Notamacropus eugenii: one gene and its partner. The protein of the gene in region 1 purifies or fractionates together with the protein of each later gene. This does not show direct contact. Links are inferred from orthologs where the notes say so. Each region holds a gene or a part of one and is shown in the gene's direction. Other genes may lie near its edges. The genes, in order: NCKIPSD and GEMIN2.

Region 1 (7,423 bases):
ATTTACAAAAATATTTATAGCAACTCGTTTTTGTAGTAGGAAAGTACCAAAAACTAAGGAGGTGCCCATCAGTTGGAGAACAGATAAATAAATATGTTTATATATAATACATATATGTTTATAATAGAATACTATATAAGAATAGAAGAAACATATTTCAGAGAAACATGGGAAGACTTGTATGGACTCATCCAAAGTGAAATGTTTAGAAAGAACAATTTATGCTATGACGTCAATATTGCAAAATAGAAATATTTTGAGAGATTTAAGCATTCTGATCAATACAATGATCAACTATGTTTTCACAGGACCAATGATGAATAATGCTACAAGTCTTATGACAGAGAGTTGAAAGACTAATGAACTAATATGCAGAATGAGAGACATCTTTAAATATAGCTAATATGGGAATTTGCTTTGCTTGAGTATGTTGGGGATTTTGGGTTTATTTGTTTGTTTGATCAGGGGGAGGAGAGGTTAGAAGAAAAGAATAGATGCTTTATAATTGAGAAAATAAAATTTAATTTATAAAGAAATATTTGCCCCATACCTGATTCAAATTGTGCTATGAATCCTTTTTTTTTTGTCTTTCATGTTTATTATTTATTTTTAACATTTACAAAAATATTTGTCTTCTGAATTCTCTCTCTCCCTCCCACTAGAAGGCAAGAAATGTGATATCAATTATACATGTGAAATCATGCAAAAAATATTTCTATATTAGCCATGTTGCAAAAAAGCAAGAAAAACAGTGAAAAAATTATGCTTCAACGTACACTCAGACTTCATCAGTTCTTTCTCTGGATAGCATTTTTCATCATGGGCCCTTTGGAATTGTCTTGGATCACTGTATTGATAAGAGTATCTAAGCCAGTCACAGTTGATCATAGTACAATATTGTTGTTACTGTGTACAGTGTTTTCTTGGTTCTCCTCGCTCCACTTTGTGTCTTCTCAAGTTTTTCTTTTTTTTTTTTTATTTTTATTTTGTAATGTTTAACAATCACTGCCATACAATTGTGATTTTATCCCCCCACCTACCCCCAACTCCCCCCCTCCCTCCCCACGACTGCATACAATTCTGTATAGATTCTACATATACTTTCCTATTGAGTATATTTTCACTATAGTCATGCTATGTAGTCAGACTAAGATAAATGAAAGAAATCGTATAACAAATCAGAACATGATACACAAACACATACACATACACAAACATGATCTGCTACAATATGTGAGTGACTTCCATATTTCTCTCTCTGAGTGTGGCAGGCATTTTGCCTTGAGATCCTCTATTGGGATTTTTTTTTTTTTTTGGTAAGAAGTTCTTGTGTTATTACAAAAATCTAAGTCTACCAGAAAAAACTCTCACACACTGTGGTTGTTGCTGTGCATAAAGTTCTCCTGGTTCTGCTCCTTTCACTCAGCATCAGGTCATATAAGTCCTTCCAGGCCTCTCTGAAGTCTTCTTGTTCATCATTTCTTATGGCACAATAGTACTCCATTACATTCATATACCATAATTTATTCAGCCATTCCCCAATTGATGGACATCCCCTTGACTTCCATATGAATCCTTTTAAAATAAATTCCCCACTCCAACCCCCTAGGGAGATCTAGACATGAGACAAAACCTAAGCTTTAAATAATTTGGTCCCGTAGCATCAGAGTGGAGGTTTAACAAACCAGAGAGGGTGATAAAAGGAAGTTTTGCTCTCATATCATTAGATGCCATGGTTCTCCAGGACTGAACATAGTCTGACTGTGTGCACAGATCCAGAGCAGAGGAGTCCTTTAGAAAAATGAGTACTTCCCCAGCTCCTTGGTCCTAACAGCAATTGTTTGATTTTAGGTAGGATAAATGGAGGCACAGAGAAGTTAACAGTTTCCCGGTGGTCCTAGTTCTGTATGGTTCCCCTAGGTATAGAAATGTTCCTACTGATAATAATAATAAAAAATAGCTAACATTTATATAATGCTTACTCTGTAGCAGGCACTATGTAACTAAGCACTTTACAGTGATCTCATTGGATCCTCACAATAAGGTAGGGGCAGCTATTCCCCATTTTACAGACAAGGACACTGAGGCAAACAGAAGATAAATGGCTTGTCTAGAGTCCCATAGCTAGTAAGTATCTGAGGCTGTATTTGAACTCATCTTCCTGACTCTGGTCCAGCACTCTATCCACTGCCTCACCTACAGCTCCTTAGGATGCAATCGTCAGAACCATAACTTTGCTCCACTCAGGTCTGGACTCCTGTTAGAGAAACCTGCCCTTTCAGAGTGTGTGTGGCAAAAGAAAACAGGGATGCTAGGTGGGAGAACTTGTAAAGGGGATTTGGCTGGAGCTCAGTCAGTGTTTGCCCCACAGTTTTCTACACTGGGCTCAATTACTAGGGCATGTTCCCAGGGTGATACATGCAGAAGGTACAACTCTCAATCTATATCTAATTTCACTGTACTGCCCCTTCTCTCTACCCTGATATTTCTGTTAAAGGCACCACTATCTGCTCAGTCACAACCTCAGTCATCCTTAATTCTTTCCTATCCCTCGCTGGATCCATCCAAACATTGGCTAAGTCTTATCAGTTCAATTTCCACATCCCTCACATCCATTTCCTTCACTCTACTCACTTAACTCCACCACCTTAGCACAAATTTGCATCACTTCTTACCTGCAATATTGTCATCACCTCCTAACCAATCTTCCTGTTTCAAGGCTGTCCTTTATCCAGTTTGTCATTTACAGAATTTCTAAAATGATCTCCCCAAGGTAAGAGTCTGAATATGACACTTCCCTGGGGATCTCGATTCTAATATGAATTCCTTAGACTCTCTTTCAAGGCCCTCTATAATCTGGTTCCAGTCTACATTTCTAGTCTTGTTTCCACATTATTTCCCTTCATGCACTATATATCCTAGTCCAACTAGACTACCAACAATTCAGTCCTTCATGTCCTGCCTCATATATTTGCACAAGTTATCCACCATGCTTGGAAACCACTGCCTCCTCATCTCCTCAATTGAACAAGCATTTATTGTGTACACTATATGAAAGACACTGTACTAAGTACCCCAAAATAATCTCTGCCCTGAGGAACCTTATATTCTGGTGGAAGTATAACATTTTGAGATGAATTAAAGAAAAGTCCACATGTAATATTTGAGCCTTGGAGAAAGCTAGGGATTACAAGGGATAGATGTGAGGAAGAACGTTCCAGGCATGCAGGGCAAAGGAGATAGATGTATTCAGAAATACATCCAATAGTTTCTGGAAAGAAAGTTGGTAAAGGGTTTAAAGTGTATTCTTTCTTAGAGGCAATAATGAACCGCTGGAGCTTCTCAAATGAGGGGATGACATAGACCTATGTTTTAAGGGTACCAATGTGCTTTTTGAATCGCCTCTAAAAATCTTTTCAGGGTTCAGTTTTGGTGCCAGTAAAACCTTGTGTGAATGAATTGGATTTCACCTTGGTCTTGGAATCAAGAAGACATGAGTTAGAACCCTGCCTCAGCCACTTCCTAGCTGTGTTGTTCAGTTGTGTCCAACTCTTTGTGACCTTGTGAACCGTAAGCGCACACTCTCCATGGGATTTTCTGCAGCAGCTTGTCATTTCCTTCTCCAGCTCATTTGACAGATGAGGAATTGAGGCAAACAGGGTTAAGTGACCTGCCCAGGGTCACACAGCTAGAAAGTTACTGAGGTTACATCGGAACTTGGATGTTCCGGACTCCAGGCCTGGCATTCTGCCCACTGTGCCATCCATCAACGTATGACAGCAACAGGGAAGATTTCAATTCATGAACTCTCTGCACCGTGCCACCTGGCTGCGTGCCCTTGTGTTAATCTTTAGGTACCAGGGGTAACTGCCTAGGAGTCAATCCACTAGGACGTAGACTGGTTGCAAGAAATGCTGACATTTTATTTGGCTAATCGGTCTTATCCATGCCTTAGCTCAGGTGACGCGTCAGGGCTGTTCCCTGTGCTCGTGGGGGGCAGGGTGCCCTGTACCTGGCGGCAGCTTTCAGGGAGCCACGCGCGGAGGGGTGACGATAACTCAGTGTGGCACCTCCCCGGGGTCTGCCCCGGGGCACCGCGGCCCGGGGCTGCGCCGAAGCCCCCCGCCCAGGCACAGACGCGAGCCCCGGGGGTGGGGTGGGGTGGGGGGGTGGGGGGGTCAGGCTGTCGCGCGTGGGCCGGGCGCGCCCCGGGGGCCGGGCTCCGCCACGAGGGCGGGGCTCCGCGGGGGGGAGCGGGTCGGGAGCGCGCACGCGGTGGTGTCACGGGGCGGAGCCGGCGCGGCAGCCCCTGGACCCCGGCGTCCCCGGCTCCCGGCTCCCGGCCCCTCCAGCCCGCGGCGGCGGCGCCTAGGCCTCATGTACCGCTCGGTGTACGCCTTCCGCTCGTCGGAGCCCAACTCGCTGCCCTTCGGCGAGGGGGAGACCTTCCTGATCCTGGAGCACAGCAGCCCGCACTGGTGGCTGGCGACCCGGGCCCGCAGCGGGGAGACCGGCTACGTGCCCCCGGCCTACCTGCGGCGCCTGCAGGTCAGCGCTGCCCGCGGCCCCCCCCCGGGCCATCCCCCCTGCCCGGGGCCATCCCGCCCCCCCGGGGCCATCCCCACCCCGGGCCTGGATCGCTCGGCCCTGGGAGAGCCCCGCCCCCTAAGGAACCCCAAGATCGCGGCCACTGGGGAGCCTTCGGAGGGGCCCCGGGCCCAGACCTTGGCGGGAGGGGTCCGAGGAAGCTCTGGCCCGGGGCGTGCCTGGGAGGGGTAGGCTTGGCTTCCGATCCCCTCCCTCTGCCTGCTCGTCTGCCCCTGACCAGGGATGGCTGGCTTCTCGGGATTGTGGGGAGGGGGGTGGGATGGAGGGAGGACTGGCCTCGCCCCTTGTTCCCGCTAGTTCTTTCCCCACTCCCATGTTATCCCCCACATCTTAGGAAGGTGATGGTGGAAACCCCCTCACCCCCTTCTTGTGAGACTTCAGTCCCGATGGGAAAGGGAGGTTGACTCTGCCTTAGGGCCAGGAGAGGGGTGCTGGTGTTTGAGAAGGTTTGTGAGTTGGACTGGGAGTGCCCCTTGTCTATAGTGAGCATCGTTTTGTTCCCAAACCAGCTCTCAGGACAGAAATAACCCTTTAAATTTGGAGAAATAGCAGCTGCGGCTGGCTGGGCACTTCAGCCTCCAGTCTGAGGAACGGACCTTTTTCCACTGGGAAAAGTCAGATTTGTCTGTGAGATCCATTCCTGTTCTTGGAGAGCCCAGGTCTGAGGATGAGGATGATTCTTGCCTTTGGAAAGCCTAGGCCTTGATTCTTTAAGACAGAAACCTAAATGTGTGTGGTGGAAAGAAGTAGATGAATGGGTGTGCCAGTGATCAGGGTAGGCTTCCTGGAAGAATTCCTGTGTTTGGTATTGTGGAGGCAGGGACAGAAGTTTGACAATTCTATCTGACCTATTCATTTGGGGTTTCTCATGGACAATTGTTGGGGTCACCTCTGGTTCAGACTTCTGCCCCCTCATGTAGCTCTATGAGGTGTGAGGGGAGGAGGAATCTTTTACAATGGCCTCCTGTATAAGGCCTCTTCAGAGAAGTATACCTTTGGGTATATCATATAACATTTCTGGGCCTTGGTTTCCCCATTTTGTAATATGAAGGACTAGATGATTTCTAAGGTCCTTCCAGCTGTAACAGCTTATATATTCCCATGGCTGTCAGTGGCTACATACAAAGTCCCTGTCATGACTGACAGTATTTGTGAGATCCTGCTTGTATCTGTGTGTGCACGTGTGGCTTTGCATAGCTGCAACAGTGTCCCTGAACAGCTCTGTCAAAGGAATGTCATACAGCAGCCCCTCCCTGGGTAGGGATTTAGAGCTCTCCTGTTTGTCTGTCTGGGTCTTGGTCCGTGGGTCCATTTGGCGCCTTCTGGGGAAAACTGGAGTAGGTGGGGGAAGGGAAGGATATTCTTAGGGAGCTCAGGAAACAGGCAGACACCCAGCCCACTGGTGATGAGGTCAAAACTGAGCTGAGGAAAGGAGGGTTGAAGTTGGACAAGAAAGTCTAGATGATAAGACCCTAGCACTTGGATCTCCTTCTTAGGTGTCTCCTCCAGTGCCAGGGCAGAGGCCTGAGATACCTAGTCACTTCCTTTTCTCTCTTCTCCTCTTCCTTCTTCTCTATCTCTCAATGTCTCTGATTTAGGTCTTGCCAGCCATTAACTGAAGACAAAATTGTGAGACTTGCCTTGGGGGGAAGGGAGTGGGTAGAGGAAGAAGGGGAAACCAGGACAACTTTTTATTACCCTTGCTTTTGGGGTGTGTAGAGTGAACCAGGTTGGATCAGCCTTGGGGAGAAGGTTATTAGACGCTGTGGGATTAAGGGGGGTATATAAGAACCTCAAAAGGCTTGCGGTGCCAAGTGGTGCAGTGACTTCCCATGGTGTCTGAGGGATGATAGGAAGTGGCACTACTGAGGAGACCTCTTTTCTACAGGGCTGGTCTTTATTCCTTTTGGCAGTATCTCTTGGGGATCCTGGGGAGCCTTTCCGAAGGGCTTCAGCCTGTTCATTGCTCTGGGTGGGGCAGCTAACAGGATTTCCAGATGTTTCTTTCTGACTTTGGTTGAGGCATTCTGTACTCCTGCAGGTCTGACGTGAGCTGTCGCATTCATGACTCTGATCTGTGACATTTTAATAATCATGGTGATGATAAAATGCTCTATAAATGTAATTTAATGTTAACAAAGCATTTTCTTCTCAACAGTCCTAGACTAAGGGATGCACCTAGCAATGTTAGCATTCCAGGCTCTGCACTGTGAACCTGCTCAGTCCTTGTTCTGAAAGACAGGCAAGACTCAGCACCCTCTGCTGTCCCTGGCTCTCCCATCCTGGTCTTGCCCCTCCTGTGCCAACCTTGGCTCCCTGGATTCTTCCAGGACATCTTCCCATTCTAAGCTGGGTCACCTACTGAACTTCCTATCCCCAACCTTATTCAGTACCTGTGGGACCAGAGTGGTTCTCCCCTCAGAGTATGGCCAGGATAGGACTGTACTAACCTTTATAAGGCAGCTTCCTTAGGAGGCAGTGTGATGTGATAGAGAGAGCCCAAGACATGGGCGTCAGGAGAAATGAAGCTCTGCTACTTACTAATGGAGTGACTCTACCAAATTCCTTCCCCTCTCTGGGCCTCAGTTTTTCATCTGTAGAATGGTGAAGATGGCGTTTGGGCTAGATGGCCTATAAGGTCCCTTCCCTTTGAAATCTTGCGCTCCCATGAGGATGTTCCAGGACAATAAAGCGTAAGCTAAAGTCCAAAGGTGACTAGGCTGCCAGACCCAGGAGAGGCCTTGTCCTCTTTTCTGAGAGCTCCTGGGTCCCAGCCTCGTTCCAGCTTGCTTCGGCTTTGTCCGGGTGAAGGCCT
Region 2 (7,551 bases), about 320 Mb from region 1:
GGTGTTGAGACTTTCTAATCTTTCTAATATTAGGTTGTTCTTCAGATTCAGAAAGCCCCCACCCTCCAGGAAAGATTGTACTTAGGGTGAAACTGTCCTCTTTCCCTTCATTATTCTCCATTCTCCCCACAGACTGCACATCAGCCTATCAACTGCATTTCCCTCATGCAGTTCCAGCTAGCATAGTTCTGGCTAGTTAGAAGGATAGGTTTTCATTTAGCATCCATAGACAACAGCCATCAATCAATGGTAGTACTGGAATCAGTGAGAGACAAACAGCAATGATCTCCAATAACTGTTCAACCAGTCAGCCATACTCAACGTCCCCAAAAGCCTTACTCTTGGTAGCCATTTGTCGTCATTGCCTTGCAAGACACATTTCACCAAAGGTCTGGGTACTCATACAAGCATACAATAAAATTCTTTCATTAGCCTTAAGGTCATTTACAATAGCCCATAAAAGCAAACCATCATCAGTTGTCTTTCTGAATTTTGTAAAATGAATTTATCACCCCTCTGTAATACACTACTGATATAATATATTTATGTCTTCTCTCAATATTAGAATCAAAATCATGTCAAATTTTCAGAATTGCTAATTCATTTAAATAAATTGTTACTTACCTTTTTGAAAAATAATTCATTATTATGGTTTGGGAACACAAGCGCTCTATTCTGACCATTTTTTTCTTTTTCCTGTGAACCATATGTTTTCCCACATATTGCATGAATTCCATTGTTAGTTCAATAGCCATTGTATATTGCAGTTAGTCTTGTAAATAGATATTCCTCTTTACTTTTTCCTAGTTTCCAGTGAGAGAAAAAAAAGGAAAAAATATGCTAATATATTATTCAGTGCTAAAAAAAAAATGCACTTACAAAATGTCAAGAAAAAAATATCACGACCGAATCTTGCACTGCTTGACTGTCAAAAAGTTTAAGACTTTGTCTCCTTTATTTCTTCTTTTTCAGATTTATGCTGACAAATTATCCATGGAAATTCTGCTAGGTTTCTTGTAGTTAGGCAGGGTCTCTCTACAGTGCTCAACTGCCTAGTTAACAGCTCATAAGTACTATTTCATCATCTCTCAGTGAAAGGGCTAATGATTACATCCTGGTTCTAGAGACAAGTTTTTGCCAGCTAAATCCATTGTAAAACAAACAAAAGCCTTGCAAAACAAAGGCCAATATTTGTTCAGGAAGTCTCAAAGTTATAGTACTTCTGTAACACCCTTTCTCTGCTAATTCTCCCAATTCACACTAGACAGCAGTTTAGGTTCCCCAGAAGGCAATGAATTTACTCCCCTCAGGATTCTAGGAGTGACCTTGAGGGGCTAGGATTTGTAATACTGTCGCCCATGAGCCCCCATCCACTGTGCCCCCCAGTATCTACCAATCAATTGGTATCAATTCCTCTATAATGGGAAGATATAGCAAAGACAGAAGTTACAAAGCAATTCCCCAATTCCAAAGCAAACTCTCCTCTCTGCATAGTCCTTGAAGAGAATGTGCTCAAGTTTAGATCACAAAGGTGTGAAGCACACAGGTAGGGAACAAGTGGGATCCAGAGGTACCTTACAAGTACAGTTATCCCTTCCACATCATTGGCATTAGGGGAACAGTGCCACTCCCCCAGATCTGGAAAATAAGTGTAAAAGTTTTTGGCCCTCTCATTGTAAAAGAGAAGAAGTCTGAATTATTATGGTATTAAAAAATAAAATATGTTGATACACAATACTATACATATATTTTATGCATCTCTGAGTTTCTAAACTTTTTCTGTGTTGTCTGCCAGCCTTCACGTGTCATCTGTGGCTTCCACAAAATTCCCCAATATTTCCCATTTAATTTCTTATGCCAACCTGTTATATATCTAAACCAAGCTGGAGAAAGCCATAATGTGGAAGTACTGGTGTGAGCAATCCTTTTCTCCTCTCTGAGTCCCCAACAGGTTTGCTTCTGGGCATTGTATCATTGATAGATGAGTCAGTCCCTTGCTCATTTAGGCTGATTCCTTGCCAGCATGGTTTGCCGACTGACATGTCAGTCCATTGCTGGATTGGGCCAAACAGCTGCTATGCTTGATTCTTACCAGACTTGGCCACCACTGCTGACGAAGTGATATGGCTCTGGTTGCTGGCAAGAACTCTTTGATGGCTCTCTGAACACAGTGATTGCCTGGAGATTCACTTCTAAGAATACTAGTAAGTAATAATAAAAACAAAGTAGGAAAGAGAAAGGTTTGTATTCAAGGACATGTGGTGGCTGGGCAGAAAGACAGGGTGGCATCTACTGCTACTGCCTCTCCCACCCCCACTCCCCCAATGGCTCACAGCAATTCTTGAATCAGTCCCCTAATCACTAGGCTCCACAACTTGAATGGAAATAGAACCAACAAGGAAGAGTAAATTCAAGCATGCCTTAAGGATTGGGCCCTCATTGGCCAGTCTTCCCACAAAAACTTCCATTGGATTACAAAATATTCAAGAACTGAGTCCCTTAGGCTATTACAGATTTTTAAAACTCTTGCAAACTCAACTTTTACTGAGTTCTGAAAAACAAAATTCGAAAAAAATTAGACAAAAAAATTAGAAAATTTCTTATGCAAAGTAGATACTGTTAGTATGATACAAACAGCATAAATGGTGGTGGGAAGCTGAGAAGTATCTTAAGTCTGTCCCCATGTGTCTGTATACGGTTATGCTGTGCCTCTCTCCCTGTGTTCAATAGTGATCCTTACACTTTCACCATGACTGGTAACAAATGCGGTCAGTCTTAAGGGGGAAAAGTGAACCATTTCATAAGCGCAAGCAAATAGATTTGGAAAGGAAAATGAAAATAATTATAAAATATGGAGGCCAAAATTGTCATCAATAGTATGTAAACTTAGTCTTGCAGTGTCAACTATAAACACCATAGTGAAAGATGATGCCCAAATAAAGCACTGCAAAAGGCAAAGGGTTGCATGAAGTTGACTTATCTATCAAAACAAAGAGAAGATGCTATTCTAGAGATAGAGAAACTATTCACTATGTGCATAGAAGACCAGAATCAGAATATTCCTTTGAGTCTGGTGAAATTCAAGCCAAGGCTCAAAACCTCTTTGAAGATTTAAAAGTAAAGTACCATAAAAGAACACAGGCATTTATAGCAAGCAGATGGTTTGTATGATTTAAAAATCTTGCATGACTTCATAATGTACAAGTGTCAGGAGAGACTGCTAGTGCAAATATTGAAGCAGCAAAGAAGTTTCCAGATTTCCTGCAAAAAATAATAGATGATGATCCCTACTTGCTCAAGCAAATCTTTAATGTAGACCTGGCCGGCACAACCCCACAAGCCTGCCAAACGATTCTGGGTGCCTGTGAAATGTAGCCTCTACATTTTTTGCAGGCCACCCACAATCCTTTGGCAGGCCATAGGTTGTGCAGGCCTAGTATAGATGAAACTGGCCTATTGTATCAAATATCTCAAATCTACATCTTGGTGGAGGGAAAAAACTATATTGGAGCATAAAACTTCAAAAAACAGAGTTACTCTTCTGCTTGGAGGGCACATATCTGGGACTTGCAAATTAAAACCTGCTCTTGTACATACATCTCTTGGAAAATCCCAGATCATTGAAAGGAATCAGCACAGCCACACTACCTGTGCGTTATTTTGCTAACCCTATGGCATGGATAACCTTTATCATCTTTGAATGAGGATTTATGCGCTGCTTCACTCCCGAAGTGGAGAAGTTTTATAATAATAATGGCATTCTTTTCAACATTCTACTTATTTTGGATAATGTCCCAGGTCATCCTCCCTATCTAGATGATTTTAATGAAAATGTTAAATGGTCTGCCTTCCCCCTAACACTACCTATTTCAAGTTATGGATCAGGGAGTGATTGTAAATTTCAAGGCATACTGTTTACACATTCATTTGCCCAGGCAACTGAAGCTTTGAATGCAGATAAGCACTTCATATTGAGAGATTTCTGGAAGTCCTATAATATTTACCATGCAACCTGAAATACTGCTAAGGAATGATAAGATATAACAGAAACATGTATGAAGAGTTTTTTTAAAAAGTATGACTAATTTATTCCTGATTTTCATGAATTTGACAAAGATGAAACACTGTAATAAGTGAGTAACAATATTGTAAAATTAGCACAAGAATTGGAGCTAGAAGCAGATGAGAAACATGTGGAGGAGTTGATTGAATCTTATAGGGAAGAAATATTGAATGTAGATTTGATTGAGCTGCTAGCTGCAAAGAATGCAGAAGAGGAAGGGGAAGCTTCAGAACTAAGGTAAAACCAAAAAGATTCACAATGAAACAGCTTGCTGAAGTATTTCATAATTTGAGTGAATTTTTTTTCTTGCTTTGCAAAGATGGAGCCAAATACTTTGAGATTTTTAAGTTCAAAGACTAGTTGAAGATAATATTGCTTATAACCGTCAAACATACAAGGAAAAGAAAAGAGCCACTGACTAAACATCTCTCAATAATTTTATTTTTAAAAAGTTGTACAGCCAACTGGAAGGGGCAACATACTGTATACCTATATTAATTTTACTGTATAGTGCTGTACACACTTTATCATTAACTTTTCCTGTCATTTCATTGCTCTTCATTATCATGGCACTGTATTTATTATGTCTACATTTTAGTATATTTTATGACTTGCATAAAGGTATTACTTTGTAGGAGGTATCTAGACCTCAGTGGACAGAATACTAGACTTGGAGTCAGGTATATCTGAATTACTAGCTGTGTGACCCTAAGCAAGTCACTTAACCTCTGTTTGCCTTGGAGGCAGCTAAGTGGCTCAATGGATAGAGCACTGGGCCTGGAGTCAGGAAGACCTGAAGTCATAGGCTGTCTCAGAAACTCACTAGCTAAGTGAACCTAGGTGAATCACTTAACCTCTGTCTGCCTTCATCCACTCAAGAAGGAAATGGCAAACCATTCCAGTATCTTTGCCAAGAAAAACCCATATGTAGTCATGACAAATCAGATATGATTAAACAGCAACAAATTATTTTGTATATGCCTCTGCTATATAGGCTGGGGAGGGGGGGAATTCGCATTACATAAAAATCACTTTACACAGAGGTCCACGGAATGATCTATTTCTGTAAAGTGAGAACTGTCTGTATTTAGAATTTTTAAAAAACTAGGGAACCCTGAATTCTACATTAAGGAAACAGCCATTTCCTGGTAACAGCCTAGCTTATAGAGATGAAGATGTAAGAAATGTACCGAATAGTCACATTAAGTTTCTTACCAAGAGTTCTCAATTATGTATAAAGGAGAAGTAAATCTCAAATTCACTAGTTTGCCAAGAATACCCTGCTTTTCCACCTCCTGCTGAGTGACAGCAAATCAAAACTAAGGCTCCAGGGAAGAAGCACTGGAAAAACCTCTGTCAGTTCTAGGGAAAAGGTCCATGTTCTTTCTGAAAGACCAAGACAGTACTAAACAAGGACTATCTAGAGCTGAGTCTAGAGACAGAGAAAGGGATTCTGAGAAAAGACTCATGATAATAGGAAGATGGGATTTTAGCCAGGACTTGAAGGAAGCCAGGGAAATCAGAAGGCAGAAATGAGGAGGGAGGGAATTCTAGGCATGAGGGACAGCAAGTGAAAATGCATCAAGCTGGGAGCTGTAGTGTCTCTTGAAAGTAACACCATGGAGGTCCATCTCATGGTATCATAGAATGTGTGGAGGGGAGTGAGATATAAGAAGCCTGGAAAAGTAAGAAGGGGCCAGGTTCTAAAAGGCTTTAAAAATCAAACGTATTTTTGATACTGGAGTTAACAGGGAGCCACTGTAGCTTATTGGATGATGACATGGTTAGACAATTTGACAGAGGAGCAGAAGAGAGACTGGAATGAACAGAGACAAGAAGACTATTCTGAGTGTGAAATGATAAGGACCTGCCCAGGGTATTGGCAGTGTCACAGAAGTGGGCCTATACAAAAGATAGTGCAAAGGTAAAATCAACAAGGCTTGGCAACTGAAGGGATGTGGGGGAAAGGGGGGGAGACAGTGAGGAATTAAGCATATTATGTTAGGTCACATGATTTCCTACAATATCAGTTTTGAACTATCCTTTTCATTTACTCATATTATTTCAGAACTAAAATCTATTTTGCAAAAAAAAAAAAAAAAAAGGATGTGTGAATGTAAGCTTGAATCCCAGAACCCAATGGTATGGGACTCTCTCCTCATTGTGGAGATCAATACCCTGAGAATACATGAGGGGACAGTTGTAGACAGGGGAGAAAAAAGAGATCTTCAGTCTCTTCCTACTTGTAGCTTCCAGTGTAGAGAGAGAAGCCACGTGAGGAACTCTCCTAGGGACCATGAAAGAAGAAAGACTCTGGCAAGAAGGTGACATATAGAACTTTGATCCAATGGGAGAGTTCCTTCAGTCTGTGTTATTGAAGTATCTTTTCTCATATGTATACCTTCTCTGGTTTATATTTTCTATCAGCTCAAAAGGTGGGTTTTTATTTTTGTTTGTTTTTGTTTTGTATATTCCTTATGGAACTGGTATTTGCTGGGAAAAGGGTCAAGTCTTGGATATTAAACTTGGGGTCCTTCTTTCACCATTAATGAATAGCAATTAGGAATTTAGCTTGAACCTAAAAATTCCATTTCCTAGGCTAATAATATTTAATATAAGTCTAGCCTGGTATTCCCTCACTCTAAGAACATCAGAGCAGTCAGGCTCTGTTCCTCTAACCTCCTGCTTCCCCCCCTGGCAAGAAATGAAATCTCCCTTGGAGAAGGGCCTTTGGAGATGTATCTATTCTATCTTCCCTGTGAACCAAATCAAGTCAGCCTCATTACATAAATCTTTCTGAAAGAATTCACTTGAATAAAAATATTTTGTTTGGGAGCACACAGAATTTTTAACAAGTCTTTTCACTAACTAAGGTAGTTAGGATCACCACATTTGTACCTTAACAGCATTGTCCTGATATATGTTGACAGAGGAAGAGGAAATAGCATAGAAGAATGCAAAGGTGGGAAAAAAAATCCATACAACATGAAGGAAAGTAAAACATAACTTTATTAAAGCTGTTCTTGCCCTTCAGCATGTGAATTACTTCAAATAATAGGCTATGAAATTATCAAGGAACCCAGGAAACCCTCAAGTACTCTAAAAAAAAAAACCACGTTGCTTTTTCAGCAGTACTAAAGTCACCATGCATGTATGTCATTTCAATACTCAACAGATTTGTGGTTACAATGGTGTAGGTATACTTTCTTCACCACTGAAACCCTCTTACAAGTTAATATTCTATCTTCAAAAATTGCTATGGCCCACAAATTCATCACTACTCACCAACCTAGTAATTGCCATAAATTTAGCTTGGCTGGACTTCAAACAAGAAATACAGTCTGTCAGGTGAGTCTTTTCAGTTTAGTAGGACCCACCTGAACATGTATTACACTGAAATAATTAATAATAACTATCAAAATAGTATAAATTATAATATAACACCTACTATGTGTCAGGCTTAGTGTTGAATGCTTTACAAATATTAT

What was found.
Region 2: the proteins of NCKIPSD (region 1) and GEMIN2 purify together in Homo sapiens (co-immunoprecipitation; 3 studies listed by BioGRID and IntAct, counting the BioPlex papers as one, with this or other methods). This does not show direct contact. The link is inferred for Notamacropus eugenii from reciprocal best matches to the Homo sapiens genes NCKIPSD and GEMIN2.

Annotation. Positions count from the first base shown.
Region 1 is NC_092872.1:7,812,541-7,819,963, forward strand, and holds the start of NCKIPSD (NCK-interacting protein with SH3 domain), read left to right. Parts: upstream 1-4,275; 5' UTR 4,276-4,377; coding exon 4,378-4,548; intron 4,549-7,423. UniProt on the Homo sapiens protein: Has an important role in stress fiber formation induced by active diaphanous protein homolog 1 (DRF1). Induces microspike formation, in vivo. In vitro, stimulates N-WASP-induced ARP2/3 complex activation in the absence of CDC42.
Region 2 is NC_092872.1:331,897,310-331,904,860, forward strand, and holds the start of GEMIN2 (gem-associated protein 2), read left to right. Parts: upstream 1-4,365; 5' UTR 4,366-7,551. UniProt on the Homo sapiens protein: The SMN complex catalyzes the assembly of small nuclear ribonucleoproteins (snRNPs), the building blocks of the spliceosome, and thereby plays an important role in the splicing of cellular pre-mRNAs.